2 linked regions of the Xenopus tropicalis genome follow. The protein of the gene in region 2 binds, or shares a complex with, the protein of the main gene of each other region. Links are inferred from orthologs where the notes say so. Each region holds a gene or a part of one and is shown on either strand. Other genes may lie near its edges. The genes, in order: tmem30b and atp8b1.

Evidence for each region.
Region 1: the proteins of atp8b1 (region 2) and tmem30b are in contact, whole or in part, in a cryo-EM structure (PDB 7VGH), measured with the Homo sapiens proteins. The link is inferred for Xenopus tropicalis from reciprocal best matches to the Homo sapiens genes ATP8B1 and TMEM30B. Residues at the interface, in NP_001361314.1 of Homo sapiens: Trp362, Val366, Ser369, Ser370, Trp371, Tyr372, Leu373, Tyr374, Asp375, Gly376, Phe418, Trp421, Asp422, Leu423, Tyr426, Asp431, Pro433, His939, Trp942, Arg946, Tyr968, Phe971, Asn972, Gly973, Ser975, Ala976, Gln977, Leu1003, Gln1005, Phe1049; in NP_001017970.1 of Homo sapiens: Gly9, Ala10, His11, Gln12, Pro13, Asn15, Phe18, Thr19, Gln20, Gln21, Arg22, Leu23, Pro24, Ala25, Trp26, Gln27, Pro28, Leu30, Ser31, Ala32, Ala35, Leu38, Phe39, Phe46, Leu49, Leu53, Tyr109, Tyr111, Asn116, Phe117.

The regions. Positions count from the first base shown.
Region 1 is NC_030678.2:89,248,194-89,264,214, forward strand, and holds the start of tmem30b (cell cycle control protein 50B), read right to left. Parts: upstream 7,531-16,021; 5' UTR 7,528-7,530; coding exon 7,318-7,527; intron 6,072-7,317; coding exon 5,967-6,071; intron 5,215-5,966; coding exon 5,107-5,214; intron 4,484-5,106; coding exon 4,393-4,483; intron 3,415-4,392; coding exon 3,271-3,414; intron 888-3,270; coding exon 684-887; intron 1-683. UniProt on the Homo sapiens protein: Accessory component of a P4-ATPase flippase complex which catalyzes the hydrolysis of ATP coupled to the transport of aminophospholipids from the outer to the inner leaflet of various membranes and ensures the maintenance of asymmetric distribution of phospholipids.
Region 2 is NC_030677.2:201,976,086-201,992,401, reverse strand, and holds the start of atp8b1 (phospholipid-transporting ATPase IC), read right to left. Parts: upstream 7,378-16,316; 5' UTR 7,114-7,377; intron 1-7,113. UniProt on the Homo sapiens protein: Catalytic component of a P4-ATPase flippase complex which catalyzes the hydrolysis of ATP coupled to the transport of phospholipids, in particular phosphatidylcholines (PC), from the outer to the inner leaflet of the plasma membrane.

The sequences.
Region 1 (16,021 bases), on a different chromosome or scaffold from region 2:
TTCCAGTACATTTTTAGACAAGACAGGTGTGTTTTCTAAACACACTGTCACAGATCCTATACAGTAAATCTAAATGTCTGCATATTCATATGCTACTTAGTAGCAGCTACTTGTCATGGCTACTAAAATGCAATAAATACCCTGCCATAGAAAATACTGAGAATTGCTTCTGTTAACACACATGTAGAGACAATTATCAGTAAATGATCAGCATTGTCTATTTTGTAGCCATCACAAGTAGCTGCTACTAGTAACTCTGTGTCTTCACCCTTAGGCTAATGTGGAAAACTGCTTGCTGAAAATTCCGCCCTTCGCCTCCTACTTGTGCCTGCACCTGAATGAATAGAATATGCTCGGGTTCAGGCACATGTAGCCGATATACACATCGCGAGAGTTTGAAAGTCTCGCATTTTTATGGGTATTTCTGTTACATGTGCCTGCACCCGAGCATATTCTATTCATTCGGGTGCAGGCACAAGTAGGAGGCGTAGGGTGGAATTTTCGGCAAGTGGAAAAACGCTCTACGCCTTGTCTGGCATTAGCCTTAAGGTTTTTAGTGTTAGGTCTATGCATCTTGTCTTAGGAAAAGTATTATTAAAGAATAATGCAAAGCTGATGCTTAGCTTTTGCTGTGTGTTGGTTTGCTGATAATGCTGGGCTTTTAATCATTTTTTTAAGGATACTGTATACAATTTTCAGCAGATATTCCCCAGGCGGTAGACCTGTTGTAAAATTCCCAGACTCGATTCTACGATATAACTTCCGGAAAGAAGGCAAAGCTGCTCTTCGCATCCAAACAATGAAATCTTCGTTTATAAACCCTGTGTTAGACGGATCATCAGAAAGATTGTATGCAGGAGTTAGCCAGTTTGAAGGCTTTGCTGTACCTGTTGATATAGAAGATGACAATGTGTAATGTATTTATAAAAATGTTCGATGTTTGTACATTCACAAACTGTACATATCTGATATCAACATTCTTTATAGAGGCTGTATATGTATTCTGCATATTTATGGTATTTACTAACCAAAGTAATGCTAGATGAATTCTGTTACGGAACAGTTTAATAGCAGATTTTAAAAGACATGAGGGATCATTTCTAGCCACAAGTGGAGTGAGCATGCAGCTTCATTGTGCTTGCAAGGAGGCAATGTTCTTGGCAGAATAGCGCTGCGCCTACTATATTTGTGAGCATTTTAGCATTATTTATGCAACCGCAGGCAAATTTGGTTGCAAATTGGAAACATTTATGTGGAAGTCCATATGGTCTTTTATGGTCCTTTACTGTGTTTGCGTTCAAGTGACAGCTTCGGTCAATTATTTGGGCTCAAGTGTGCTGTACTTATTGAGGCTGAGTGCAAAGGGAACCCTGGAGCTACCATCTGGTCAGGAGGTGCTTGTAGCTTCAGGTTCTCCTGCAGGGTCGGACTGGGCCGCCGGGACACCGGGAAAAATCCCGGTGGGCCCCAGCGGCCCAGTCCGACCTTTGCAGGCGCTCCCCCAACTGACTGTTCCTCCCCTGATGCGTTCAGGGGGCCCTGCAGGGTAGGGGACACCTGCAGGGCCCCTGGGGCGGGAGCCCCGGTGGGCACAGCACCCCCAGTCTGACCCTGTTCTCCTGCATCAACAGACCCAGTGGCACTCAACTGGGAAAGTAAGGACTGCTGGGCCAAGAGCAACTATAAGGAAGTACAAGGAGCACATTTTGAGACAAGAACCTTCAATGGCAGTGTTTTTTTATGCACAACTGACTGGGGAATTTTCAGGTCAGCAACTGCACTTGCAGATGTAAATATGCCCTATGGTATAAAATCAGTTTATACTTCTATAATTAAGAGGGCATAAACAGGTTTAAGATATCCACAATTGTATTACTGCTGCTAACATCTAGAGCAGTGCTGTCCGACTGGCGGCCCGCGACCCCCCTTCTGTGTGGCCCCCCACCTGTCTGGCTGCTTTGATGGCTTACTCTTGTGTAAGCTTTAAATGGTATCAGTGCTGAGATTAACTGCCCCCCCTGCATGGTTCTCACCTCAGATTCAGGCTGTAAACCCTCTGTATTGTTTAAATATGTAATCCCCTGTGTTGTTCACACCTTTTAATCTCTGCATTGTTCCCCCCCTGCAGTGTTCACACCTCAGGCTCAGGCTGTAATCACCCACATTGTTCCCCTGTTCACACCTCAGACTGTAGGAGCAGTAGAAACCCACAAATAATCCCTGCCTGTGTGCCATACACACAGGCAGGGTAGGGAAGGCAGAGTATGGCAGGTTTTTGCTGTACTACAACCATTAATATAGGTATGGTCATGTAATAACACGAGTTTGGTTTCAAGTGGGTGCGGTTTCAAAAAGGGGAGTGGTCAAAACTGGCTTCCATTATCGGCCCTCCACCACGTAGGGCGGAAAAATTCCGGCCCTCGGTACCACAGAAGTTGGACAGCACTGATCTAGAGCAGTGATCCACAACCAGTGGCTCATAAGGAACATCTTGCTCGCCAACCACTTGAATGTTGCTCCCAGTGGCCTCAAAGCAGATGCTTATTTTCAAATTCATGGCTTAGAGACAAGCAGACCCTGTGTTAGCGGGGGGGCAACTGCAGGGTCTGCTTCCTACAATGTTCGAGCCTGAGTTGTGAACAATACAGGGTCTTAATTGTGCTTAAAGCCTGAATCAGAGGTGTAAACAATGCCAGTTAATCTCAGTACAGATACAATTTAAAGCTTAAGGGCCGTGACACACGGGGAGATTAGTCGCGCCATGCCAAATCTCCGTTGCCGCGGGCGAAAAAAGCTGGTTTAGTAAAATTTGATTTTTATTTGTTATCATCAATTTTTTCCCCCAAAGAAAAATGCATTTTTTTTACCTTCTAAAACCTGCCGAGATGCCATGGAAAGTCAATAAAAAGTTTATTTTCAACATTCAAGCAAAGTTGTAAATCAAGTTTTTTTTTTCATTAATTGCCTTTGTTGCCATGCAGCAAAACACAGTTGAGGTTAACCCATTCCAGAATTTTAATATATATAAGATAGACAATCTCAGGAAAAGTTTTAATCACAATTATGCAAGTTTTTTCCCCAAAAACTATACATTTTAATAAATATGCCCCTTAGCATTTGGCCAAATCTGAATCTTAATTTGGTGCATCCCTAAAAAAAAGTGAATGATTAGTTGCTGCAGAAAACATTTACATCACATGTTCATCAAATTACAGGGCCATTGTGGTAAAAGTATAGTTTTTTTTTAAAGAAATAATATGTCAGATTTACCATTAAAGACTTGAGCTAAGGTTTCATTGCCGTTTGTAGGATTTTGGAATTTAACATTATAATCAGACCACCATGAGATGCCTTTTCTTGTCAGTGGAACTTCAACATATGTTCCATTGTCCTTATAGTGCAATGAAATGACATCTAGAATACAGAAACACAATATAATGCATAAATATATAAATACATTTATATATTTGTAGATAGATGATTGATAGATAGATAGATATTTTTTTGACAGTACCATTTTCTAAAAAAGAGAAAATTCTTCTGGAATCAATAGAAAACAATGAAATCATGAATCCATCTTTAAAACCACTATAACATTTGAATTGTCAAAAGCATCTTATAAAATAGGCCACCAGAAAATGCCACTATAAGGTACTAGTGAGCCATAGTGTGCAATAGAAAAAGGCACAACTGCTTTCAGTTGCAATTATATTTGTAAGTAATTTATAAATATGATTTAGTAACGTTTCAGTGTTTGTTATAAGGCCACGGTATGGCACTTTAGTGGCAGTGCCTACTGGCAAATCAAAGTTAATAAAAAGACACGGGGGTTATTTATAAAATTCACGCAGTGCAGAATAATTCGCTCAGTGAACATATTTGCCCTGCCTGTGTTTACGTTTATAAATCTGGACAAGACTGGTGCATTTAATTGCAAATTTTTTATTCGCAGTGTGAATGTCCTTAAAAGCTTTTTAAATGCAACCACGTTACACCACAACTTTGGTGGTGGAAAAAATATTTGCAAATTGTGAAATTGCTATATTTGTGCACAATAAACACACAAATCGCAATCCCATTTGCCAATTTTTGTGCAAGATTCACATTTCACTGCAGTTCGCAACAAAAGGAAAGATGGGCGCAGCAGTGCAAAATGTAAGTGTTTAAGGGAAAACATGCACAAAACAACCATTTGCTAATTTTTTTTTCTTTGCAAACTTTATAATGATTTCATAAACATATTAAAGAGGGATATAGTAGAACCCTTCCAAATGTTTAAAATGGAGTGTACCCTATCCAATAATTTTGCAGTCAATAACGCAAGACAAAATACAAAATTGTGGTATACATTTACAGCCAATAAAATGTGACAGAACCATTTTATGAAATTACCATTAAACATGCTGTTTGCAACAGCACCACATGGAGCTATTGGCAAATTTTTTGAATCCCACTGATATGGAGAACAGTAATTAGAGGGGGCCTGAAAGACAAAAAAAAAAAAAAATAGAAAAATAGAAATAAATCAGTTTGCTCATTTTTTTCTAACCAAAAGAATCTTAAAAGTAAGAATGTATCTGATATTATCATTCATTATTTATTAATAATAATATTACATGTATAATGAATACAGATGATACATTTAATCAATATAAATCATCAAAGTTTTCCCCAATCTAATTCCTAAAATTGATATAATCTGTTAAAATGTTTATAATTCTGAGTCATTGTGGAAATGCTTTGTACATTAAATGAAGGATAAGTGATTGAACTCCATTAAGTGAATCTGTGGATTAAGTTGTTGTGCTCCTGCAAATGGTACTAGAAAGCTCTTACCCCCATATGCAATAAATGGCGCTAAAGTTGCCCCAGAGTAGTAACCCATAGCAACCAATAAGGTATTTGCCTTGAAACAGGCAACCACTAAATGCTGCTTGCTGATTGGTTGCTATGGGTTACTGCTCCTGGGCAAACTTAGTGCTTTTTATTGCATAAATCCATTTGAGCCAACAGAATAGAGGAAAGGTATGGGTGTTTAATATGGTTTCCAGTTCCCAAATAAGGGAACCGTCTTATTTTTACAATGAGAGGAACTCCTTTACATACCTTTAGATTGTCAATTAGTCCACCAAGTTGCTTTGGATCTACGGAGATCATATAACGATAGTGGTTCTGGTAGTAATTAGACAACTCATAATACATACAAACAGGTCCCTTAAGGAAAAAAAGAGATTTTTAGTATACATTTTAATTTCAAAAATACATAATAATGTACTATACACAATGTTTCCATGTCTCATAACAAAATCACAAATGTTTAATTGTCCTGGTGCTTAAATTAAAAGCTATTCACTCTGGTGCTTATAAGATGCAAATATGGGGATGATTTAGACTGTATTGCCATTTTCTCCACCTGTGTAGAAAATACCGGATGTGGCATTAGCCTTACTGTGTGTTATCTTGAGCTAGGTAGGATATTTAGGGTTGAAGATATTTGCCTGCTACCTGTGAAGACTTTCTTCTCTACTTACAAATGCAAATATATATATTTTTTTGGCAACTTGCAATTCTTTTTATTAACTAATTGTTTGTCATGTTAGCAGAAGTTCATTATGAATTTGTATATGTAGTCCTGTCTATATTTTCCACTATCCAGTGCCATCTGAATAGTAAGGGTAACATATCTATATGCTTTTCCTGGACTTGTTTTCAACTTCTTTACAAGCAGTAGTGTGTTCTAATATTACTTGGTGAATGTACAGCCATAGAGCAGCAATGCATTATCATATTATATTATATCATATTATAAACATGGCCATAAAATTGTCCTTTCACCCTATAGCTTTACAGTACTTCATCTTAGCTATGGCAAAAGTATATGCTTCCTTATTTATACAATATATACAAATTATTTATTTAAAAAGAAATGTAAATATAGTTCTGGAAACAAAGAGTATTTGGTTTACCTGGAAGAATTCTGTGATGTTAAATGGGACATTACATGTGCAACCTCTTGATTCATTTCTGCAATTATAGCAGTAGTCTCCAAGCACAGCACCAGTGTAGTCAAACTTAAAAATAAATGAGAGAAGATTCATTCTGAAGTGCCTAGTATCCTACTCTATAGGCAATGATGGTGTGCCCCTCCTAGTATTTCCCCAAACAGTTTTTGGGGCCGATTCACAAAAGGTCGATAACACTTATCGCATGCTTTTTTGCGTTAAAAAGTATGTGATTATTAAGATTCATCAAAGTCATTTCGTATGCGTTAAGACAACATGGACTTTGCAGTGGGATTTTTTCAAGTCTGTGTTGGCCCTAGTGATGTATCCTCCAGTTTGCAGGGAAATGGTCATTTTCAGAACAGAAGTTCTGAACGCGGCAAAATATATTGCGTGCAGCGCAAAAAAACTCATCGCAAATTAATAACACAAACAACATCACTTCTTAATTATGACACGTGTCCTTCTAGTGAATCGAGCGTTAAGGTGCAAAAAGTAAGAACGCATGCTATAAATAGCGCTCATTTTATCGACCTTTAGTGAATCGGCCCCTTTATGTAATTAATGTAATTAGTCACATTAGTTTGCAGGTCTGCTAATCTCATCAGAGAGCTTTGAACATGAAATAGGTCCAAGCTCACCAGTCACCTGTGAGGATCCAGCTAAAATGCACAATTGCAAACTACTTTTAATGATAGTGTGGAATAATAAATGTATAAATAAACCAGTAACAAAGTTGCCAGATTATGTTTGTTGTCCAGATGTTAAATGTTAATTTAACATATAAAAATAATATATATAAGGAGTAGTCAGTATTTGTATTTTTCATGTGCCTTAAGAATATGGACTGGTAATTTGGAGGGTTAAGAAAGTATGCCCTCATATCTAGTGACAATATTTATTAAACCTTTGAGATTATTTTTTTTTTTTTTATTAAGATAGCCATACTGATTTAAGTCATCTACATGTTCAGATATGGACCGTACATTTAAATGCAACGATCTAAAACATTCCGACTGAAATTGTAGGATAAAGCCCTAACAATAACAAATTGGAGCATGTGCTGAACATGAAATAGTTGGCAGACACCAATCGTACAAAAGTGACTTCCTGGTAATGCATTGTAGGTCCCCCAAGGATATCGTGAGATACACAATACATGCACAGCTTATATCGTTATCCAACCAAAATTTTCTAACTAAGTGACTGATCGCCATGGTACGAAAATCATCGGGACGAGAATTGAGAGCCCACACATAGCTGAAAATTGTACGAAACGTATGGCCAGCTTTAGCTGACATGCTATCACCCTTACCTCACTTTCCTTAATGCTGTTTGAGGAGTAGTATAAACCTAAGCCAATTGCTATAAAAGATAAGCCAGCAAAAAAGAAGAAAGGAATAACAATGCTAGCAGAGAGTAGTGGTTGCCATGCTGGGAGTCGCTGCTGAGTAAATGCAGTGTTATCTGGTCTCTGTGATGGAAGAGGCTCCTTAATTGTGAAGTCTGTGGAAGAGGATTTCATTTCCCAGCTGTTGCAAAAAAATGAGAATGGCAAGAGTTATTTCCCCTGCTGTTCCTTGAAATGTCCCTTACCAATTTCTCTACATTCTTCCCAAGCTTTACATTTTTGTTTATTATTTTGTTCTGTCATTTAACATGACTGTTCATCTCTAACCTGTTTCCTTTCATCTCTGGTGGTGAGCATCATAAACATACAATATTCCTAAAGATAGCGCTTTCTAGAATCTCTACAGTTAATTCTATGCATATATAGTACCTAACTCAAAAGACCCATACATATACATATATACATATATATATATATATACACATATATATATATATATATATACATATATATATATATATATATACACATATATATACATATATATATATATACACATATATATATATATATACACATATATATACATTTCTAGAATGGAGAGCACACCACCGTTCAGGAGCGATACCTGGGTGCCAGAGCAGAAAAAACAGAATAGAGAGGCAGGTGTCGGCACTCGCAGGGTTCTCACGATAAAGACTCATGGGCAACAAAGCTTTGTTGCCCATGAGTCTTTATCGTGAGAACCCTGCGAGTGCCGACACCTGCCTCTCTATACATATATATATATATATATATATATATATATATATATATATATATATATATATATATATATATATATATATATAGATACACACACAATCAGTCAATTGGGGTGCTGGGTCAATTAGTTTTAAGAGACGTATAGAATGAATGAAAAACCCCTAATCTTGTATGCAATAATAAATAATATATGGTGGTGACCATTAACTTTAAAAATGGCCCCTTAATGGGGCTCCCTTTATATCCTTTCGAGTCCCTGTTTCTGTTGAAATGAGGGGTGGACATGTCCTAACGGTCCCTACCAGAAGCACAGTAGATGGGGTATAGAACATTCCTTCTATATTTAGAGGAGTATATTACACTGGCACATTCTTGTTTTGCACACAATATGTCCCCTTTAAATATGCACCCAAGGATCCATACCCCATTAGTTTGTGCAAATAATCTCTTTATTTTCAAACACTGTGCATTCCAATGTTTCGGTACCTACTGGAACCTTTACAAAAGGATATTTTGCAAGTAAATATTTTATACTTAAATACTTCCACAAAAGTAAAAAAAAAATGCCCAGGTGACTTCATGATAATCATTAGCATCAATTAAGAGCAATTTCAGCTTCTTGCTCACCAATAGTGTCCCATTCCCATGTTTATATTTGAGGTCCATGGTCATATTTTGTTTCAAATACAGTAGCAGTATGCCTACAAGGCAAAATGTTATACAATTTATATATTGAAGAAAAGGAGAGATCTGCTTAATTTAATGACTACAGGCAGCATCTCCAAACATTGGTTTGTAAGTAGGCACTTCTACTTAATGGTGGAGGCTTTCGGATTAACTATCTGTTAACAGCCTGAACCCATAGAACATCTGAACATCTGTTTGGAATATAAAAAGGAAAAGACACTTTGGCATTTTCTATAACATTGAGTAATACCTTAAAGGAGAAGGAAAGGTAAAAACTAAGTAAGCTTTATGTATGTATGTATAACTTTATTTATAAAGCACCTCAAGGGTACGCAGTGCTGTCCAATCCTACAATATACAAAATTACACACAGGGAGGACAAGTGTTATAGTAAATACAATAAATAAGTATAAATACACAGGAAATAAGTGCCATGTGGCATGGAACACAGTAGGAAGGAGGTCCCTGCCCCATAGAGCTTACAGTCTGCAGTAAGTGGTTGTGTAACATACAGGCACAAATTGGAAGGTATGAGTGCACTAGGTATGGGCATTTGCCCTTAAGCGCAGGACTAGGCAAAATAATGTTTTAGTGCTCCAAAAGGTAGCATCTGAGTTTTATCTTAAAGAGAGTAAATGAGTGTTCCCTACGGAATGATTCAGGGATAGAGTTCCATCAGAAAGCTCTACGTAAATACAGTCATAAGCACTCACAGAAAAGCTACACTAAGTCCTCTATCAAAAGAAACACAGGATTTCTTGTCTCCTTTTTTGTAAATATGTTCTTAGGGTATCTAAAAAAATCCTTCATTCCTGGGGTCAGAGTCTGCACAGTTCTCTCCTCTCTCCCCTCTCCTTCACCCCCTCCCTCAAAAACACTAAGAACTCCTCCCTCCCCCCTCCCTTAGGAATGTGTGATCCCAGCTATAATGGCTAGAGCTATACAACAGGAAGCTATGAAGACCAAGCTGTGGCACTAATGTGACAAATCTATTGGCAGTAAAATGCCAAAATGACTTTCCTTCTCCTTTAACCCTTTCACTGCCAGCCGTTTTGAACAAAATGGAACTTCTACTGCCAGACAATTTTTGAACATTTTACACTGTTTCAATTTAGGGGCTTTTCCTAGGGGGGACTTTTAGTTTACCCAGGAAAACTATATATCCGGTTTTTCAGGACAACCTAAGCTTTCAAAATATGGTGGAATTTTTGTGTAATTCCAATTCTGTAACAAGATATAGGCTTCTAAATGTCTAAAAAATGAAAAAATAAATAAATATTTTCCATAATATAAACACATATACCAGAAACAAAAATTATTTTATGCACAAAAATACAACTGATTTGGAAAGTCCCATGTCTCCTGAACGCGCCAATACCAAATATATATAATTTTATGGAGATTTCTCACTTGTATAGGTCAAAAACTCCCAGCAGTACACTACCAAATTTCCAAAGCACTGCTTCAGAAAGCTGCATACTTTAGATTTCAAGGTCACAAATTCCACTAACAGAAGGTTTATCCCAGAAAATTATACATTTTTAGAAAGAACAGATTCTGTGGAATCCAGAATAGGTAGAACTGTCTGTCTGCTCCAAACTACCAAGTTGCAATGCTTTCCTAAAGTTATTTGTTTTTATCAAAATTTGTGAAATTTCTTAAAAATCGCTTCAAAGCTTCCTGTCTATAGTATCTTATCTCCTACAGGTCATAAAGTAACCAAATAAAACACCCTAAATTTGAATGCCAGGGGTCCACTGAACAGTTTGATGCCCAATGTGTATAGGTTTACCTAAGTATGTGGCATGTAGGAGCCCCAATGTGAACATACCCCCATATGATCTATCATTTCTGTCATTCCAGCTTCTGCAATATCAACACATTTACATCCTTTTGTGTGGGATAACACTACAAAAAAGTACGCTCACCCCAGAAAGCCATATATTTTTGGAAAGTACACATTCCCCCAAATCTAAAATGGGTACCTGTGTCTTTCTACTCCAAAGTACCAAGCCACAAAGCATTTCTAAAGTTAGCAATTTTGATGACAATTCCAAAAATCCCCTCAAAGCTTCCACTTTGCAGCATCTTATCTCTAATGTATCAACATAAAACACTCTAAATATTAACGCTAGGGGTCTACTGAACAGTTTGATGCCTTATATGCATAGATTTACCAAACTATGCGGAGTACAGGGGCACCCAAATGAAAATAGTGCATATGAATTTTCACGAATGACACTCCGGCTCATGCAGTTTTTGCACCCGGTATGTGTATTATGTGCCATAAGACCCCCTAACAGTAAGGAGACCCTAGAAAACCATATATTTTCTGAAAGCACACATTCTGACAAAACAAAAATGGGTAAATACATCTTTCTACTGCAAACTACCAAATTACAAAGCTATGCTAATTTCATGGCTTACCTTTACCTAATTCATAAACACATGGCAATTTTATGTGGGATAGAAACTGCAGAAATGTAGGGTGACCCCTGAAAACCATATATTTTTGGAAAGTACACGTTCAGACAAATCCAACATGGGTAAAAAGTCCTTTCTACACCAAAGTACCAATCTGCAAAGCTTTCCTAAAGTTAGTGGTTTCTATGACATTTCAGAAAATCTACTAAAAATGTTGCAATTTGCCACATTTATCTCACACAATTTCTTGCGTACAAAGGAAAATCACCCCAAATAGGAACACCAGGGGTCTACTGAACAGTTTGATGCCCTATATGCATAGATTTACCAAACTATGTGGAGTACAGGGGCACCCAAATGAAAATAATGCATATGAATTTTCACGAATTACGCTCCGGCTCGTGCAGTTTTTGCACCCGGTATGTGTATTATGTGCCATAAGACCCCCTAACAGTAAGGAGACCCTAGAAAACCATACATTTTCTGAAAGTACACATTCTGACAAAACAAAAATGGGTAAATACATCTTTCTACTGCAAACTACCAAACTACAAAGCTATGCTAAACAGAATGGTTTTTATAACATTTATGAGCTAAAGGGGTTGAGGAGACCACCTCATACATATGCAAATAAGTCATAGAAAAGCTTGCATTTTGCCCCATTATGTACCCCACATTTCATAACGTACCAACATAAAGCACCCTAAACATGAACGCCAGGGGTCTACTGAACAGTTTGATGCCCAATATGCATAGATTTACCAAAATGTCCATGTGCAAGACAAGTAACAAAGAACAATATGAAATGCAATAAAATCGCTAAAATCACAAAAAAAACCCTAAAATCAATGTTTAACATTACAGAGTGTGAACGTGAATCTGGCAGCAGTTCCAGCATATTGGGTCCGTCAACCTACTGAACTAGGTATTCAGGATGTGACAGAGAAAGGTGGGAAGACGCTGGGGGTGTGCTGACCTACTTTAGTATTCTGTGATATCGTGTGCAGCTGGGAGACTGGGAGAAGATTGGCAAGAGAAAACAATCCTGAAAGACTAACACTCTCAAAAATACTTGCTGTGTGATCCAAGTGGGTAATGAACAATAAACAAACAAGAAATGCTTAACGCCAGTTTTCCATTTTATATACACACAATATCTGCCTTGACATCGCTACTCAATGGGGCCGATTTACTAATCCACAAACGGATCGAAAGCGTCCGAATGCATTTTTTTCGTAATGATCGGTATTTTGCGATTTTTTTTCGTAGCCGTTACGACTTGCGCGAATTGTCGCGACTTTTTCGTAGCCGTCGCGACAAACTTGGAAAGGTTTGCCCGCTGTTTACTAGCGCTCAATACGAAAAAGTTGTGACAATTTGCGCAAGTCGTAACGGCTACGAAAAAGTTGCGATGGCGACGAAAAAAAACGCAAAAAATACGAAAAAGTCGCAAAATGTTCGTTTCCAATCCGATTTTTTCCCCATTTGGGATTCAGCCCCAATGGGTTTATCTCAAGAAAAAACTGTACCAAATTCTCATTTAGGTCTTTAAACCCTATAATTCATGAACCCAATGAGCCTTTCCCTTGAGAAGCAATTCTGATCAAATACGACTCTTATGCATCTGAATACATGTTCAATGCGCATGCACCTGAATGCAGAAGGACCGGGTTTTGCTTTCACCCACTGTTTGGCCACAGCTTGTTGGGTAATATCTTGCTTTTTGTGCTTAACTTCTATGATTCTATAAGGATCATGGCCTGCACATATATTTGATCTAAAAGCTATTGTCTCTCCCAGCTGGAGTGCGAGATCTATTATCCCACTACTCTGTTAGGGGGAGCAATTTCATAATTATAGGTGCCCTTTAATCAACTGGATCAGTGGGGCTTATTACCTCCTTTAAATTTCTGCCTCATGTATAACTAATCGTAGGTTTTACATTTTTAAAAGTGTAATATATCATCAGTAATTATCATTGGCTAATGCTTTGGTGGACATACCTGCTACAAGGGCTGTAACAGCTTATATAAAATAATATATTTTTTTTTAATTCTCTCATTTTCATTGTCTCTAATTCTCTCATATTTCAGCATGAACATGATCCAATCTCTGCACCCAAAATTTTCATTTTAGGAGGTACCCTCCCTCTTGCTAAAAATCAATCTTAGATCCTCTGATTTTTTGCTTGGCTGATTCTGAGAAACACTTGGCATTTAAGATTTCGGTAGAGAATTCAAAAGGTCTGTAACCTTAACATGAATAGATGTGTGCAATCTACTTTGCTCCTTACAGACAGTCACATCTAGAAAATCAATATCAGAAATTACATAGTTTATAATAAATCTGATTGGAGAATCCAATTATTTGCAGGACCAAGCATTCCTAGCTTAAAATGGTCTTTTTTTAAACAATTGTTTCAACATATACAGTACTGAGAATTAACTCATCTAAAACACATGTAGAGACAATTATACAGTAAGTAAAGGATCAGCATTGTCTTTTTTAGGGTGAAGACGCATGGAGCTACTAGTAACAGCTACTTGTCGTGGCTACTAAAATAGACAATTCTGAACTAATTTCTGGCGTTTAGTAGCAGTGAAAAAGTAGCTGCTACTAAGTAGCTCTGTGTGTCTTCACCCTTAGTAGCCATAACAAGTAGCTGCTACTAGTAGCTCTGTGTGTCTTCACCATAAAGGTGGCCATACACATATGTTCATTCCCTCCATTGACGTTCAGGGCTGAATCATCAGATACGGAGGTAGAAACAATAGGTATTCTACCCCTATCTGACAATTTAGCCCTAAATGCAGATTTTGCTTGGGCGCCTTCAACGGTGCCCGATCAAAATCTTTTGACCCATCCAATCAACGAGACAACCGATATACGAAGCTTTTACGCTATCGGTCATCTCGTTGATCCGCCATACACACCGAATATCGGTACTATTGGTGTGTGTGTTGCCAGCTTAAAGGAGAAGGAAAGACAAAGTCACTTGGGGGTGCCAAAATGTTAGGCACCCCTAAGTGACTTTAATCGCTTACCTTTTACCCCAGGCTGGTGTTAGGAGAGAACAGCACCAGCCAGCGATCGCTTCCTTCTTCCTGATCGCCTGCGTGCGCATGCGCAGTAGAGTGAAAAGCCGAACTTTAACAGAGAAGTCGGCGTTTCATTCTACTGTGCATGCGTCTGTCCCGGACAATTGGCTGCAGCGTGAATAGGGAAGAAGGAAGCGCTCGCAACAGGTACCCCGGACTGGTGCTGTTTTCTCCTAACAGGGGCACCAGCCCGGGGTACAAGGTAAGCGATTTAAGTCACTTGGGGGTGCCTAACATTTTGGCACCCCCAAGTGACTTAGCCTTTCCTTGTCCTTTAAGGTTGAAGACACAGCCCTAGGAGAAGAAAAATGACTAAATGGCGATGCCACAAGAAAAAATGCAGAAGAAAATTTAAATATTTATACTGTAGAGCTCTTCCAGTTGATGAAAATGAGAGGTCTGCCTTCTCTGCTGGATGCTTTTGTTAAAAGTTATCTCAAATATAATGTGTGTTAGTGGGCCTTGGTGAAATGCTTCTTTTGTCCATTTATTAAAACAGCCCTGATGGGGATTGACAAGACTCACATGCACAGTTCATCTGTGGTAATCAGTTCATCTGTGGTAACCCATGCTGTGCCTGTCATAAAATGCTTGGGGCCACATTGTGCCTGTCATAAAGTGCTGTTTATTCTGCAGCATTGATTTACTATAATGTCATAGCTGAAGTATAAGGGTGAAGACACACTGAGCTGCTAGTAGCAGCTACTTGTTGTGGCTACTAAAATAGACAATGCTGATCACTTACTGATAAGTGTCTGTATGTGTGTTTTAGGAGAGTAAGTTCTCAGTATTGTCTATGGCAGGGTATTTTCTGGGGTTTAGTAGCTGTGACAAGTACCTGCTACTAAGTAGCTCTGTGTGTTATCACCCTAATGCACTGAGAGAAGCTGAAGCTGCCATCAACATCATATTCAATTAATTTTTGTGCCTGTTAAGTTTTAACTATCCCTTTTTGTTAACCTTGCAGAGTTTAGTTTGACAGCTGCTTTAACAATTGCTAGAACAGATTTATACAAGACAACCATGAACACACATCAATAAATACCCAAGCACACAAAGAAACATTTATGTGATGTAGTTGCAATATGGATAGATAGAACACCTCACCCCTTTAAACCCAACTTATATTAAATATACATCTTACATTTCTATTTGCAGTATTAATTAATTTACAGGCATGCTGCAGATTGCACTGATTTCTGTCCAGCCTTGCAGTGTGCATGTCATATTGAAGCCATTCAGAAATGTTGATTTCATACTGAGGTGGCAACAATGCACAGGACCACATAATGTCACAGTCAGATGCAATTTATGTTAGTGAGATAGAGAAGAGGAGAGCATTGCTGAAATCGCATCTATCCAGCAGATATAATTTCTGCTTGCAGAGAAACCTGACTATGTATGCAAGCAGTTATTCCAGTGGAATTCACATGCAAAACAGAAATTACAAGGCCCAAGTAGTAAAACATACTGGGGGGGGGGGGTAATTCATAAAGGCAGAGTAAATTGAAATTGACGTAAAAGAGATTGGAGTAAAACTGTTGTAAAAAGAACATTGTATTCATAAAGCCTCACATGGTATCACAAAATAGAGTTAGACTGGAAGAAGCATTGTTCTTACTCACAGATTTGATTATTATTATTTATTATTTATTTATAAAGTGCTAACATATTCCGCAGCACTGCATTTACAG
Region 2 (16,316 bases):
CAAAGTGGCGAACATCGGCAAAAGTCCGCGAATTTGCGCGAACGCGAACACTTGATGTTCGCGCGAATTAGTTCGCTACATCTCTACTGGTAGCCTATAGTTTGGCTTTACACTGGGTTTTATGCAACCAAAACTTGCTTCCAAGCCAGAAACATGTTGCTCACGAAACACTGGTTGGGGATCACTGATCTAAAATGATGTATTTTATGGTATCTTTATGTAGATAGCAACTCCTGTTTGTATTGATTTCCAAGGAAGTACAATTTACAACATGACCAAGCAGTGTCACAGCCTATTCAGTGACAAAAGACCCAATTAGCAAGTAAATAGAAGGGAGTATCAACAAAGCATTCCGACCGCCCTTGCCACGCCTTTATCTGCCATTGTGCCGCCTTTCCTGGTTATAGCGTTCTTGATACAACTACATCAGCTACGTTTATTATTTGGCTTCGCATTTTATTTTGCTTACTATAAAGAGCTATGCTTCATCTCAGTTAAGGTGGCCATACACTGGCAGATTTCAACAGCCAATTTTGGTCCTTTAGACTGTTTTAGCAGCTTATCTGCCTGTGTACGGAGCCCTCCAACAGGCTTCACTGACCGATATCTGGCCAAAAATCAGGCAGATGTCAATTGGGCAGGCTTGATTTTTCTGTTGAGGCTTATTGATGCAGTCCTCGCTATGACTTTTCATATCTCCTGCATTGTAATGCGATCCTTTGGCTCTAGGACCAAATGATTGCATTAGCACGATATCGCGCACCCAAGGTGGGGACCTTGCCAAATGATTGAATGTGTATGGCCACCTCAACATGGGCCACAAATGGTGGCCATACACTGTAAGATTCACACCTTGCTGCCCTTTAGCTGTTCTCGCAGCATCCCCTGACAGCCATTAGCTGGGGAAATCTCATGGGTCCTACCCAGTAAATACAAACTCTACAGCTGATGGCCAGGATCCAGTCGCCAGTTTATCCACACACCTAGAATACCAACTTGGCTGGAATTTTAACAGCCACTGCCTATTTTAATGTATCATTGGCCTATAGGATTTTCATACCAGGCCAATCAAAATTTAGAGTCACTATGAATGGTTGCAATTTCCAGGTACTAAAAAGCACCAATAACACCAAAAAAACTGAGAACAAACAGGGAGTGGGGGACGCGAGTGGGCAGTCGGGTGGGTGAGTGGGTTGCTCAATACATTTCTTCACTTGTTTCCCGGTACATTCCAGGACACATCCGCTCCTGTCAGAGCCCTCTCTCTCTTTCACTCTGAATATCACTAAATTCCTCTGTAGGGAACACTCTCTCCACCTCTTCAAAAACAAACTTAGATCCCACCTAGAACATTATTTGGTCCAGTCTTGGCTGCCAAACCTTTGTGCACTTTGCCCTCCTATTTATGCCTGTATGTTACCCATCCACTTAGATTGTAAGCTCTACAGGGCAGGGCAAACTCGCTATGGACAGCGCCTAAAGGGTTAAATCAACAGGCGTCTATTTAATCACTTTCAGTTTTAAATGTTACTGTTCCTTTAGTTTTCCAGATTATGAAATATGTCCAACAACTCACCGCAGAGTTTTCCAGCTATACACCACATATAGAAAATGAGCACTGAATGCATGAAATGTATACACTATATATACACATTGTATATACTGTATACACATATGAACCGACTACTGGTGCCGCTGGGGTCACTAATCCAACACAAACAGGTCGCACTGGGACATATTACACATTACACAGTAGAACTGGGTGACAAATGCGTGCAGCAGGATTGGTCGAGTCGAATTTGGATAATGTTATCAGTATAAACACAGCCCATGCCTCCCTGCAAACAGATTTTAGCACTTCCCGATGTACAGAGCAGAGCGTATTATGTAGTTATGTTGCTAGTTATGTATAACGGCCTCTCTCACCTCGTCCCAAATACCAGCCAGTAGCAGCTTAAGCCTCTGTTTGCTCCTCAACACCCCCATGCCTGTACAGAGCAGAGCGGACCATCAGCAGGGAAAGGGTTAAATACAGTGACATTGCTCCCCATGTTACATAAGAAGCTGAATATATAGTTAACCAGGTGTTAACTATTAGCCTATTAATATTCAATCAACACATTTTTCACATTTATTAAAAAACAGTGTAACATCTCAATGAATAGCCAGTTAGGATTGGGATTTCACATATCCCAGTTTCAAAGGGGAGTCAGATCAATGGGATGTGCCGCGAGGAGCCACAGAACTGCAGTCGTTATCCAAAAGCCCCATACACGGGCCAATTGTAGCTGCTGATATTGGTCCCTTAGACTGATTCGGCAGCTTATCGGCCCGTGTAGGGGCAGCAATGACGGGCCTGCCCAACCGATATCTGGCCTGAAATCGGGCAGATATCGATTGGGTAGGTTAAAAAATTTAGTTAGATCGTAGACCGCATCAGCTCTTTGTGCCCTGCGGCTAGTAGGCTACGCAATCTAAAACTTGTGAAGCAAAATGTGCTCGATTTGCCGAAGCAAAAAGCTTTACTCAACAATTCCATTTGTACATCATGTGTAAGTTGCTTTATTCGCTACCTGCCCGCAATGATGCTGGAATCCTGGGAAAGCACTACATTTTGGGTATAAGAAAAGAAAACACAGTATTTCCTGTGATATTTATGGGGTTAGTGTATGTAATAAAAAGAAGGGATGAACAGTTTGGATTCGGCCAAGATTCAGCCTTTTTCAGCAGGATTCAGATTTGCTCAAATCCACATGCCTGGCCAAACCAAATTGACTTTTTGTCACATGGAAGTTGAAACATTTTCTCTTTATCCCTCCCTTACCCCAATTGGCATAAGCAAGTTAGGATTCAGATTCAGTTCAATATTTAGCCAAATCTTTCACAAAGGATTCAGGGTTTGGCCGAATCCTAAAATAGTGGATTCGGTGCATCTCTAAATTAAAGCAGTATCCCATACCAACCAACGAGCAGGTAGCATCTACTGGTCACCAGTTTAAAGCAAATATCTTATGGGTTACTGCTCCTGGGCAAACTTAGTGCCTTTTATTACATACATGTTACAAGTCACAAGCAGCCAATCAGGAAGCCCAGCCCTGACACCTTGAACTGCACCTCCCACACAGCACAGGCGTGATCCCCCCCATGTCTGCATGGCATAACTCAGAAATGAGCCAATCATGTTCTCCAATCCACCGACTGACCTGGCATTATATACAGGCATTACTGTATGTGTGGCTCATGGAAATATATAGATTTCAGACACAACCAAGCCTTCAATTAGCAAAATTCACTTTTACATTACAGTTTTAATCTGTACTCTCGCAGGGCCAGCTGCCCAATGGCACAGAAGTCATTAAGATATTCATTCATTTCTCCTTTCCACAGGGGCGGCGGGATCATTAATGAGAGCATGTTCTGTTTCCCAGCAGGGAAGGCATATTTATAATGTGTTCTCATTCACACCTTCACATTCTGTTCTCTGCACTGCTGGTTCTGACTACTAAAACAATGTAGCTTCTCCATCTCCACTATATGGCCAATAAAGTAAGTCCTAGCAGAGCCTGAAAATCAAGTGTACGGCATTATGCCAAAAAATGGTAAACAAGTCGAGACACTGGGTCTGTTGGGCCACACACTATATAAAAGTTTTCAGACATTGCATCACATTATTTGTGTTACAAACAGATTTATCCTTTTAAAACATGGGAGGGTGTGGTGTGAGCCTACATTCAGTTTTGCACAGTGGCTTCTGAGTTTGGTTACATGGGACACCCACCCAAAGGTTTGTGTGTTTTTGGCATAGCTAAATAACTTATTAATTAATTTAAATAAACATTCCAGGATACACTGATTAAAACAGTTTTTGATTAATGTAACTGCTATGTGTCAGTGTCTGTCTGTCTGTCTGTCCCTTACCATTTTCTTCTTTGATTATTCTTATCAATGAAGCAAGATTAGCATTCAGTCTCTGGGAAGGGACTGTGGCTGTGGGATAGCAGGTATAGTAGGGAGAGATGGTGCCTATAGTAGCAGTGGGATAATAGCCTCTGGGAAGGGACTGGGGCTGTGGGATAGCAGGTATAGTAGGGAGAGATGGTGCCTATAGTAGCAGTGGGATAATAGCCTCTGGGAAGGGACTGGGGCTGTGGGATAGCAGGTATAGTAGGGAGAGATGGTACCTATAGTAGCAGTGGGGGGATAATAGCCTCTGGGAAGGGACTGGGGCTGTGGGATAGCAGGTATAGTAGGGAGAGATGGTGCCTATAGTAGCAGTGGGGGGATAATAGCCTCTGGGAGGGGACTGGGGCTGTGGGATAGCAGGTATAGTAGGGAGAGATAGTGCCTATAGTAGCAGTGGGGGGATAATAGCCTCTGGGAAGGGACTGGGGCTGTGGGATAGCAGGTATAGTAGGGAGAGATGGTGCCTATAGTAGCAGTGGGGGGATAATAGCCTCTGGGAAGGGACTGGGGCTGTGGGATAGCAGGTATAGTAGGGAGAGATGGTGCCTATAGTAGCAGTGGGTGGATAATAGCCTCTGGGAAGGGACTGGGGCTGTGGGATAGCAGGTATAGTAGGGAGAGATGGTGCCTATAGTAGCAGTGGGATAATAGCCTCTGGGAAGGGACTGTGGCTGTGGGATAGCAGGTATAGTAGGGAGAGATGGTGCCTATAGTAGCAGTGGGATAATAGCCTCTGGGAAGGGACTGGGGCTGTGGGATAGCAGGTATAGTAGGGAGAGATGGTGCCTATAGTAGCAGTGGGATAATAGCCTCTGTGAATAGTATATACTATAACAATATATATGTAACATTTAACTTCTGCATTGTCAAATCTGTGATACTTGTATTGTTGTTGTTATACTATTTACAGTAATATACAGCCTTCTGCGGTGCTTACTGGGGGTTATAATTCAACAACAGCTGAATGACAACAGTCAAATTTGTGATACATTCTCACCTTAAATTGACCACAAAATTTATACCTCATAATGATAAAAATAAAGTTTTAACCACCATGTTATTAGCTCGCCCAGCAAAACAAATGCCATTGTACCTACACTCTGCGCTTGGATAGGTAACCAGTCTTAATTATCTAACATAATTAACTATTAATGGGTAAAAATCCTAAGCAGACACAATGGGGAATGTTGAAAATGCCACAAACAGGGGAAGAATATTTGGATTTGGCCCCAATGATGTTGTTTAATTTCATGTCTCTCTCACACGGAGCAGAACATTTCTGCGTTTTCTTGTTCTGGTTTGGGCAAAGTCATAAACATGAGGGCAATTGATTGAAGTCAACTTTTTGGTTTCTAAAATGAACTTTTTGGTCACTGACAACAAAACTTTGTTTTGACTGAACCCGAAATTTGAACCTTGAGTTTATTTCAAACTGCTTCCCCACAGGTCTTGGGTTAAACTACAACTCCCACATCCTAGCTGCTAGTAGTCTGGAATGCCATCAACTGAGCCCTTGTCAGCAGTACATGTTAATATTAATTACCACAATTAGAATTATTTCACCCCCCCCCAACACACATGTAAATGAATAGAACAAAAGGGTAGTTCTGTACAGTGGATTTTTAAACTGGGTGGAAACAAAGGGTTAAAAGTGCCTTGTTAGTACAACCTGGGAAGTGCATTGCTTTTGCAGGTCCCCTTATGCAGGCAATAGAGGCAGGTGTGAGGGATAAGGATAGGTGTAGGGTTTGGTATAGGAATTGGGGTAAGGATAGGGGTAAAGGTAAGGATAAGTATAGGAGTAAGGATAAGGGCATGGGTTTGTATAGGAATAGGGGTAAGGATAAGGAGAGGAAGTAAGGATGGGATGGGAGAATGGTAAGGATGGGATAGGTGTATGATAGGGGTAAAGATAAGGGTAGGGACAGGAATAGGAATAAGGCTAGGGATCGAGGTAAGAGTAGGGCTAAGGGTAAGGTTAGGGATAGGGCTAAGGGTAAGGTTAGGGATAGGGGTAAGACTAGGGATAGGGATAGGGGTAAGACTAGGGATAGGGATAGGGGTAAGACTAGGGATAGGGATAGGGGTAAGACTAGGGATAGGGATAGGGGTAAGACTAGGGATAGGGATAGGGGTAAGACTAGGGATAGGGATAGGGGTAAGACTAGGGATAGGGATAGGGGTAAGACTAGGGATAGGGATAGGGGTAAGACTAGGGATAGGATAGGGGTAAGACTAGGGATAGGGATAGGGGTAAGACTAGGGATAGGGATAGGGGTAAGACTAGGGATAGGGATAGGGGTAAGACTAGGGATAGGGATAGGGGTAAGACTAGGGATAGGGATAGGGGTAAGACTAGGGATAGGGATAGGGGTAAGACTAGGGATAGGGATAGGGGTAAGACTAGGGATAGGGATAGGGTAAGACTAGGGATAGGGGTAAGACTAGGGATAGGGGTAAGACTAGGGATAGGGGTAAGACTAGGGATAGGGGTAAGACTAGGGATAGGGGTAAGACTAGGGATAGGGGTAAGACTAGGGATAGGGGTAAGACTAGGGATAGGGGTAAGACTAGGGATAGGGGTAAGACTAGGGATAGGGGTAAGACTAGGGATAGGGGTAGGGGTAAGGCCAGGGATAGGGCCAGGGATAGGGATATGGATAGGGGTAGGGGTAAGGCCAGGGGTAAGGGTAGGGGTAAGGATAGTGAAAGGTGTAGGGGTAAGAATAGGAATTAGGCTAGGGGTAAGCCTAGGGATAGGGGTAACATAGTAAGTTGGGTTGAAAAAAGACATACGTCCATCACGTTCAACCTTAATGCCTATATATAACCTGCCTAACTTCTAGTTAAGAATAGGGTAAGAATAGGAATTAGGGTAGGGATAGGGACAGGGGTAAGAATAGGAATTAGGCTAGGGGTAAGAATAGGGCTAGGGGTAGGGGTAAGAATAGGAATTAGGCTAGGGGTAGGGGTAGAGATAGGGATAGGGGTAAGAATAGGAATTAGGCTAGGGGTAAGCCTAGGGATAGGGGTAGGTTTCACAAAGCACAGTGGGGCTGTTGGTAGTATGAGTAGCACTGAGCCCAGGGGAGCTGCCTACATTCCAGCTCTGAGACTGGGGGAAAACCACAGACAAACAACTGTTCTTACCTGAGAGGGGATAGGAGCCGGTCGTACCTCCCCCACTACCTCTTCTTCCTCCTTCTTTTCTGGGACCCAGCTAGTGGGGCCCCTGATTTTCTTCCATAGGAGACAATGGCAGAGCTGTTTCTGTACACCTAATCCATGCACACCAATGGCTTCCTCCCTCGCTGGGTTGTCACACCTAACAAACAAGTTTGTCAACTTTCAGGCAGCCTGTTGTTCTCCCAGAGCTGAGACACATTAACACTCACACTGTGTGTTCTCCCTTCTGAGCCCTGGGAGGAAATGAGGCATGAACTGGCTGCAGTCAGGGAGGGCCAGGGTGTGGGGTCATGTGACCTCAGGTAAGGGCAAGGCCTGTAGGTGAGTGCTGGGGTCCTGTAAGACCCTCCCCTCTCCATCACCTCCTCAGCCAGGGGCCACCATCAGCCCTCCCTCCTGTCTCTGCTATAGGAACCTGCTCAGGTTACAGAACTGCTCAGGCAAATAAAGAACAAGAGAGACAAATAGGAACTTCAGGCAAACAAATTAAAGGGTAAATCTCACCTGCCTGCAGGGCAGCACACGTATATAAGGCAACTGGTTGGATGCAGGAGTCACATGATTAGATACAGGGACAGCCAATGCCCTGCTATTCAGTGTAAAGGGAAAATGTGCCTTATTTATTTACAGAGTTTAGTCATTCTATCCCCCCATGAAAAACAATGGAGATAGTAGCTAATTGTCAGCTTAAATCTCCTGCTACACAGTGCTGTCCCTCTCTGTAAAGTGGGAAGTTTGTTTCATCTGCAGATGCATTCACCATTCATTGTAAATACAACAGCACTCCTTGTGGTCAAAAAATATATTGCTTTAGTTTTGTTGAAGAATGCACTTGAGCAATATGGCAGCTCCCACTGTATGCATACGTGCATATATTTAGGGTAAGGACCCATGATGTCTGCTCCCTTTTGAGCTATGGTCCCCATTCTGCCCTCCTGGGGTTTACAATCCCACCGCCCCTGACTGCCCTGGCCCAAGATCCCCTTTATGAACTAACTTTATATTTACCACTAATACAAGAGGGCTGATTCACTAAAGGTCGATAAGTTTTATTGCACGCTTTTTTGTGTTAAAATAGACGCAAAAATTAATGCGCGATTCGCTACAGTATTACCGCATGCGTTAATGTACGCGCCAAAATAATACTAATGCATGATTCACAAACACTTAGACGCGCTAAATATCGCATTAGTCTTTGCAAAAATTAACCCCTACTTGGGGCAGTCGGTAATTATAGAAAAGTACAGTTCCTGAGCTTTTGGCAACACAATACGGACTTTGCAGTGGGATTTATTCAGTCTGTGTTGGCCCCAGAGTGATGCAGCCGCCAGTTTGCAGGGAAATGGGCATTTTCAGTACAGTAATTTTCCGAAAGTAATGGCATCTATGACTAACATGGCGTGCGTGTTTTCGCACGCGGCAAATATTTGTACGCGGTGCGTTGATTAGCGCTCGTTCCATCAAATACCGCACGAAAATAGTCTTCACGACTAAAATAACGCAAACAGCATCGCGTCGAAATTAACGCAAGTATGCTTTTAGTGAATCGTGCGTTAAGACACGAAAAATTAGACGCGATAACATTTTTAATAATAACATTTTAGCGCTCGTTTTAACGACCTTTAGTGAATCAGCCCTAAGGGGTCTGGGGTCAGAGTAGCAGGATGCACCGGGGGAGGCACAAATCATATTAAATAAATAAAAGAATAAATATCAAAGACATGATCCTTATTTTATGTGGTGCTTTTCATAGCCGTAGCAATGGCTACTGTTGCTATTGACACTTGGCACTTCCTGACTCAGAGCCATTGTGATAAATGGGGATTTGCCCAGAGCAGGACAGGAGGCCCACCAGCAGACATGGCAGACCCCTCAGTGTAAGTGCTACAGCATGGTTATTTTAATTTCTCTGCTTTTTTTTACGGTGCCCCCTATTTTCTCATTTATTTACTCCACCTAGGGATCATGTCTGCTCCAGTAAGCGCACACCATTTCTATACTGCCTGCCTTGTTATACTGAAGTTTATGTGCTCGAGGGGCAGTGGGGGCCCACCAATTAAATCTTTTCCATGGACCTGCTGGGCAGGATTTCTTCACCATTCAAGTCAATGGGACAGCACCCTAGGCAAACTAGTGGGGGCCACCTCGCCCCCGCCTCAAGTGAGCTCTCATGTGTATGGTTACACCTGGGGAGGGGGAAATGACAAGCGGGTAGTGGAGAATGGGGAGCAGGCAGCAAGGGGATGGCACACAGGACTGGAGGGCCCCGACTAGGAGTAGGCAGACAGGAGAGGTACATGCCTAGTACCCCCACGCTGTTGCCCTAGGGAGCTGTAGTGTACACGTGTGATATAAACAGTCCCACGTGATGTAACATAATGATTGAAGGGACGAGCAGCAAAATGAATAATGTGGGTGGAGCACTTTAGTGATGCAAAAATGTCCGTCAACCCTCATGAGGAAATTTGTTAATACCTTGCAAAAAAAAAAGGAAAAATGCCTGGGGATCTACTGAGTCACATACGGAATAAAAAGCTCAGGTCGTCCTGCCCTGTGTATTTTTGTAGTGAGAGTTTCATTGTTTCCCCTTGCTTTTCTTTCTAGCGCCTCAGCTTGGCAAGGAAAGCCTATGGCACACTGGGCATTGGGACTGCCATGTCCGGCTACCCCTGCTTGTCATATTATTTATTGGAAAGCACCTTGGCTGATGCACATGTGAGGGGGCAGAGGGACATCTGTGCCATTGGTCTGTAGGACACGGAACCTAAAATCACTACAGCGTGGGATGCCATTGGCATTTCTAATGGTAAAACAGTGATATATCATTAAAATGAAATGATTGCTGATTGCTGTTAATTCTGTTCTTGCATATTGCTCTCACTAGTGCAGTATTCTGTTTTTATTCAGGTATGGGACATATTATCCAGAGCAGTGCTGTCCAACTGGCGGCCCGCGACCCCCCTCTGTGTGGCCCCCCACCTGTATGGCTGCTTTGATGGCTTACCTTTGAGTAAGCATTAAATGGTATCAGTACTGAGATTAACTGGCCCCCTGCATGGTTCTCACCTCAGATTCAGGCTGTAATCCCCCTGTATTGTTTAAAAATGTAATCCCCTGTATTTTTCACACCTTTTAGTTTCTGCATTGTTCACCCCATGCAGTGTTCACACCTCAGGCTGTAATCACCCACATTGTTCACTTCTTCACACCTCAGACATAGGTACTGTAGGCAGAGTATGGCACATACAGCCAGCATAGGGCAGGTAGAGTATGGCACATACAGGCAGCATAGGTCAGGGAGGGTATGGCACACACAGGCAGGGTAGGGCAGGCAGAGTATGGCACACACAGGCAGGGTAGGGCAGGCAGAGTATGGCACACACAGGCAGGGTAGGGCAGGCAGAGTATGGCACACACAGGCAGGGTAGGGCAGGCAGAGTATGGCACACAGAGGCAGCATAGGGAAGGCAGAGTATGGCACACACAGTCAGGGTAGGGCAGGCAGAGTATGGCACGCACAGTCAGGGTAGGGCAGGCAGAGTATGGCACACACAGGAAGGGTAGGGCAGGCAGAGTATGGCACACACAGTCAGGTTAGGGCAGGCAGAGTATGGCACACACAGGCAGGGTAGGGCAGGCAGAGTATGGCACACAGAGGCAGCATAGGGAAGGCAGAGTATGGCACACACAGGCAGGTTAGGACAGGCAGAGTATGGCACACACAGACAGCATAGGACAGGCAGAGTGCTGCCTGTGTGTGCCATACTCTGCTTGCCCTATGCTGCTTGTGGGAGGTGAACGTGGCAGGAGTTTGTTGTGGGAGTTTGTTAGCAGTTGGAAATAGCCATTAAATGGTCCCAAAGGTGTGTAATTATGTACTGGGGGTTGCTCTGCTATCCACAGGGGAGGAGGAGGCATATGGAATTTAAGGGTATATCTTAATATGACATAATTCTTTCACATATGAATGATGGTTGATATCCCCACAGTAAGGACCAAGCATTTGGGATTTTGCTGTGCTACCACAATTGTGATAAAATAGGTGTGGTTTGAAGTGGGTGTGGTTTGAAAAAGGGGAGTGGTCAAAACTGGCTTCCATTAGCGGCCCTCCACCATGTATGTTAGAGAAATTCCGGCCCTCGGCACCGCAGAAGTTGGACAGCACTGATCCAGAGTGCTCAGGAACTGGGGTTTTCTAGATAATGGATCTTTATGTAATGTAGATGCCCATACCTTAAGTCTATTAAAAAATGTATTTAAACAGTAAATAAACCCAATAGGATTATTTTGCCTCCAATAAGGATGAAGTACATGGCACTGTTTTATAATTACATCAAAAGAGGGAATCATTTTTGTAAATTTTAATTTTGACATTTGATTAACGCGGTTAACTTTTAGTATGATGCAGTTCTATTTTGAGACAGTTTGCAATTGGTCTTCATTTTTTAAATTTTTGAATTAGCTTTTTGCTCAGCAGCTCCCCAGTTTGGAATTTCAGCAGCTATCTGGTTGCTAGCATTCACTTTAACCTAGTAACCAGGCAGTGTTTTGAAAGAGAGACAGGAATATGATTAGAGGGGGGGCCTAAATATAAGTACTAAATAATAACAATAAAATTTTACCCTTACAGACGAATAGCTTTTGGCTGCCGGGGTCTGTGACCCACATTTGAAAGTTGGAAAGGGTCAGAAAAGGAAGGCAAATAATTCAAAAACTATGAAAAATAAAAAATGAAGAACAATTGAAAAGTTGCTGAGAATAGGACATTATATAACATACTCAACGTTAACCTAAAGGTGACCCACCGCTTAATTAAATGTGCAGTATCCCCACCCTAAATACAACTACTGTGATGCAACTACCATACAGCAGACCCTATAGGTACTGCAGGGACCCAGACCACAGGCTCTGCTATATGCTAGCCCCCCTCCTAAGCCCCTTATGCTGCTTTAAAGGAACAGTAACACCAAAAAATGAAAGTGTATAAAAGTAACTAAAATATAATGTGCTGCTGCCCTGCACTGGTAAAAGTTGTGTGTTTACTTCAGAAAGTCTACTATAATTTATATAAATAAGCTGCTATGTAGCCATGGGGGCAGCCATTCAAAGGAGAAAAGGCACAGGCACATAGCAGATAACAAATAAAACACTATTGTATTCTACAGAGCTTATCTGTTATCTGCTATGTAACCTGTGCCTTTTCTCCTTTTTTCCAGCTTGAATGGCTGCCCCCGTGGCTACACAGCAGCTTATTATATAAATTATAGTAGTGTTACTGTAACAAACACCCCCGTTTTACCATTGCAGGGCAACAGTGCATTATATTTTTATTACTTTAAAGCTCTTTCATTTTTTTGGTGGTCCTTTAATTCAGCTTGTATGTGCTGGACAGGTGGCCTGGCCCTTCTATGTTGCGCCACTCCTAAAACAGTTTTGTGCAAAATGAAAGAAAATGCAATGAATTCTAAGCAACTTTCCAATATACTGTATATACTCGAATATAAGCCTAGTTTTTCAGCACCCAAAATGTGCTGAAAAAGTCACCCTCGGCTTATACTCGAGTCGGGTGCCATGGGTCTCTCCAGACTAGCACCCTCTGTCCTTTGTGTGCAAATTAGGCCACCCGCAACCAGACCCTCCAGTGCCCTGTCCCACTCCCAAATTCATCTCCCATCCTCACCTGTCCCATTCTGCACTAGACATTGCACTTTATATTCTATATAAACCATAGTTTTGAAGGATTTTAACTCTTTGTGTTTTAGCTTGGTTGCTGATTGAGCTAAGGGAGTAGTACTCTTAAGGTATCATTGTTGATACCATATTGTTTTTGTTGACCTTCTTCTCCACTTACAGAGCTAGTTTAGTGTTTAGTGTTTATTTAGAAACATATGCCCCACTGATGCCTCATATAATGTAATTTTATTGGTATTTATTTTGATTATTAAAACTTAGCAGTAGCTGCTGCATTTCCCACCCTAGGCTAATACTCGAGTCAATACGTTTTTCCAGTTTTCTTAGGTACCTCGGCTTATATTCGGTTCGGCTTATACTCGAGTATACTCGAGTAAAAGATGTTTCCAAGTTCTTTTAAAAAAATATTTCTAAATATAATTACAATTAAAAGCAGTATTTATCCCTTCGTTTTCTATGGTTATGACTCTTGAAGCAATGCAGCAGAATGTAGTTCTCATGGAGGTTGGTTAATCAGCTGGCTTCTGCTACATTTCAAGAGTCAGAACCAGCATTGCACAGAATATAAAGGCATAGAGATACTGCTTACACCTACAAATAACCGACCATTGACATAAATATTGGAATGTTCTTTTATTATGGAAAAACAGTTTTCTGGTTGGACTCCAAGGGGCCTATTCACTAAAGTACGATTGTGTCCGAATGCTTAAAATTCATATTTTTTCAAAGTTTTAGAACTGTGCGCATTTTCTGTGATTTTTTAGTTAATTTCCGCAACTTTTTCGTACTTTGAAACAATTTTTGTGCCAAAATCGTATTCTTGAAACGAGAGTGCCATTGAGCCCTATGGGAGGCTTTCCTTGGGCCGGGTTGGAGCTGCAGAGTGCCATTGAGCCCTATGGGAGACTTTCCTTGGGCCGGGTTGGAGCTGCAGAGTGCCATTGAGCCCTATGGGAGGCTTTCCTTGGGCCGGGTTGGAGCTGCAGAGTGCCATTGAGCCCTATGGGAGACTTTCCTTGGGCCGGGTTGGAGCTGCAGAGTGCCATTGAGCCCTATGGGAGGCTTTCCTTGGGCCGGGTTGGAGCTGCAGAGTGCCATTGAGCCCTATGGGAGACTTTCCTTGGGCCGGGTTGGAGCTGCAGAGTGCCATTGAGCCCTATGGGAGACTTTCCTTGGGGCGGGTTGGAGCTGCAGAGTGCCATTGAGCCCTATGGGAGGCTTTCCTTGGGCCGGGTTGGAGCTGCAGAGTGCCATTGAGCCCTATGGGAGGCTTTCCTTGGGCCGGGTTGGAGCTGCAGAGTGCCATTGAGCCCTATGGTAGACTTTCCTTGGGCCGGGTTGGAGCTGCAGAGTGCCATTGAGCCCTATGGGAGACTTTCCTTGGGCCAGGTTGGAGCTGCAGAGTGCCATTGAGCCCTATGGGAGACTTTCCTTGGGCCGGGTTGGAGCTGCAGAGTGCCATTGAGCCCTATGGGAGACTTTCCTTGGGCCGGGTTGGAGCTGCAGAGTGCCATTGAGCCCTATGGGAGACTTTCCTTGGGCCGGGTTGGAGCTGCAGAGTGCCATTGAGCCCTATGGAAGGCTTTCCTTGGGCCAGGTTGGAGCTGCAGAGTGCCATTGAGCCCTATGGAAGGCTTTCCTTGGGCCAGGTTGGAGCTGCAGAGTGCCATTGAGTCCTATGGGAGACTTTCCTTGGGCCGGGTTGGAGCTGCAGAGTGCCATTGAGCCCTATGGAAGGCTTTCCTTGGGCCAGGTTGGAGCTGTAGAGTGCCATTGAGCCCTATGGGAGACTTTCCTTGGGCCGGGTTGGAGCTGCAGAGTGCCATTGAGCCCTATGGGAGGCTTTCCTTGGGCCAGGTTGGAGCTGCAGAGTGCCATTGAGCCCTATGGGAGACTTTCCTTGGGCTGGGTTGGAGCTGCAGAGTGCCATTGAGCCCTATGGAAGGCTTTCCTTGGGCCGGGTTGGAGCTGCAGAGTGCCATTGAGCCCTATGGGAGGCTTCCAAAATCATGCACCGAAGGATCAAAGTCAGAAAGGTTTTTGCGCCATTTACGATCGTTTGGATACGAAAATTTCAGAACTTTCAAATCGTACCACAATATTTTCGTACGACCATGATTTTCGTATTTGATACGAATTTTTCCTAAACGTACTTTTCAAACTCAGACTTTGATAAATCAGCCCCTTAATCTCGACATCAATTTATTGCAGGGGTCGGGAACCTTTTTGGCTGAGAGAGCCATAAACACCACATATTTTAAAATGTAATTCCGTGAGAGCCAGGATCGCGTTCGCATGGGCCGCTGGCTTCTTGGGTGGTTATTTTACACCCCGCTGCTCCATAAGCACCAAAATTAGGCTGCTGTAAGCTCAATAGAGCAAAGGCTTTGTCTGTGGGTTAGAAGCTGGAAGTGCAGTATAAGAGAAAATACCTAATCCTAATAACTATGATTTAGAGACATCTGTTTCTGGATTTGGGCAGAGATTTTCTTGTGTCATAAAACAGGTTAAAAAAGAAGAGTAACCTGCAGGGTGTGCCACAAACAGCACTTCCCTCTGTTTGGCTCCAGGCTGGGCTAAAGAAAGAGCCCTATAAAAGCCTGGGAGGAGGTCTGGGGAAGGTGCAGTCACCTGAAACTCCCACGCCACCTTCAGTACTGGGAGTCCCTCATTTGCTTTGCTCCGCTGTACAGATAGAGAAAGCCCAGAATAATGTGTTTCAGCCCTTACCGATATATGAAATGGTGCCCAAGCAAAATCAGAGCCATCAATAGAATAGCCCTATGAACTACAAATCCCAGAATCAGAGCTATCAATAGAATAGCCCTATGAACTACAAATCCCAGAATCAGAGCTATCAATAGAATAGCCCTATGAACTACAAATCCCAGAATCAGAGCTATCAATAGAATAGCCCTATGAACTACAAATCCCAGAATCAGAGCTATCAATAGAATAGCCCTATGAACTACAAATCCCAGAATCAGAGCTATCAATAGAATAGCCCTAGAAACTACAAATCCCAGAATCAGAGCTATCAATAGAATAGCCCTAGAAACTACAAATCCCAGAATCAGAGCTATCAATAGAATAGCCCTATGAACTACAAATCCCAGAATCAGAGCTATCAATAGAATAGCCCTAGAAACTACAAATCCCAGAATCAGAGCTATCAATAGAATAGCCCTTTGAACTACAAATCCCAGAATCAGAGCTATCAATAGAATAGCCCTATGAACTACAAATCCCAGAATCAGAGCTATCAATTGAATAGCCGTATGAACTACAAATCCCAGAATCAGAGCTATCAATAGAATAGCCCTATGAACTACAAATCCCAGAATCAGAGCTATCAATAGAATAGCCCTATGAACTACAAATCCCAGAATCAGAGCCATCAATAGAATAGCCCTATGAACTACAAATCCCACAATCAGAGCCATCAATAGAATAGCCCTATGAACTACAAATCCCAC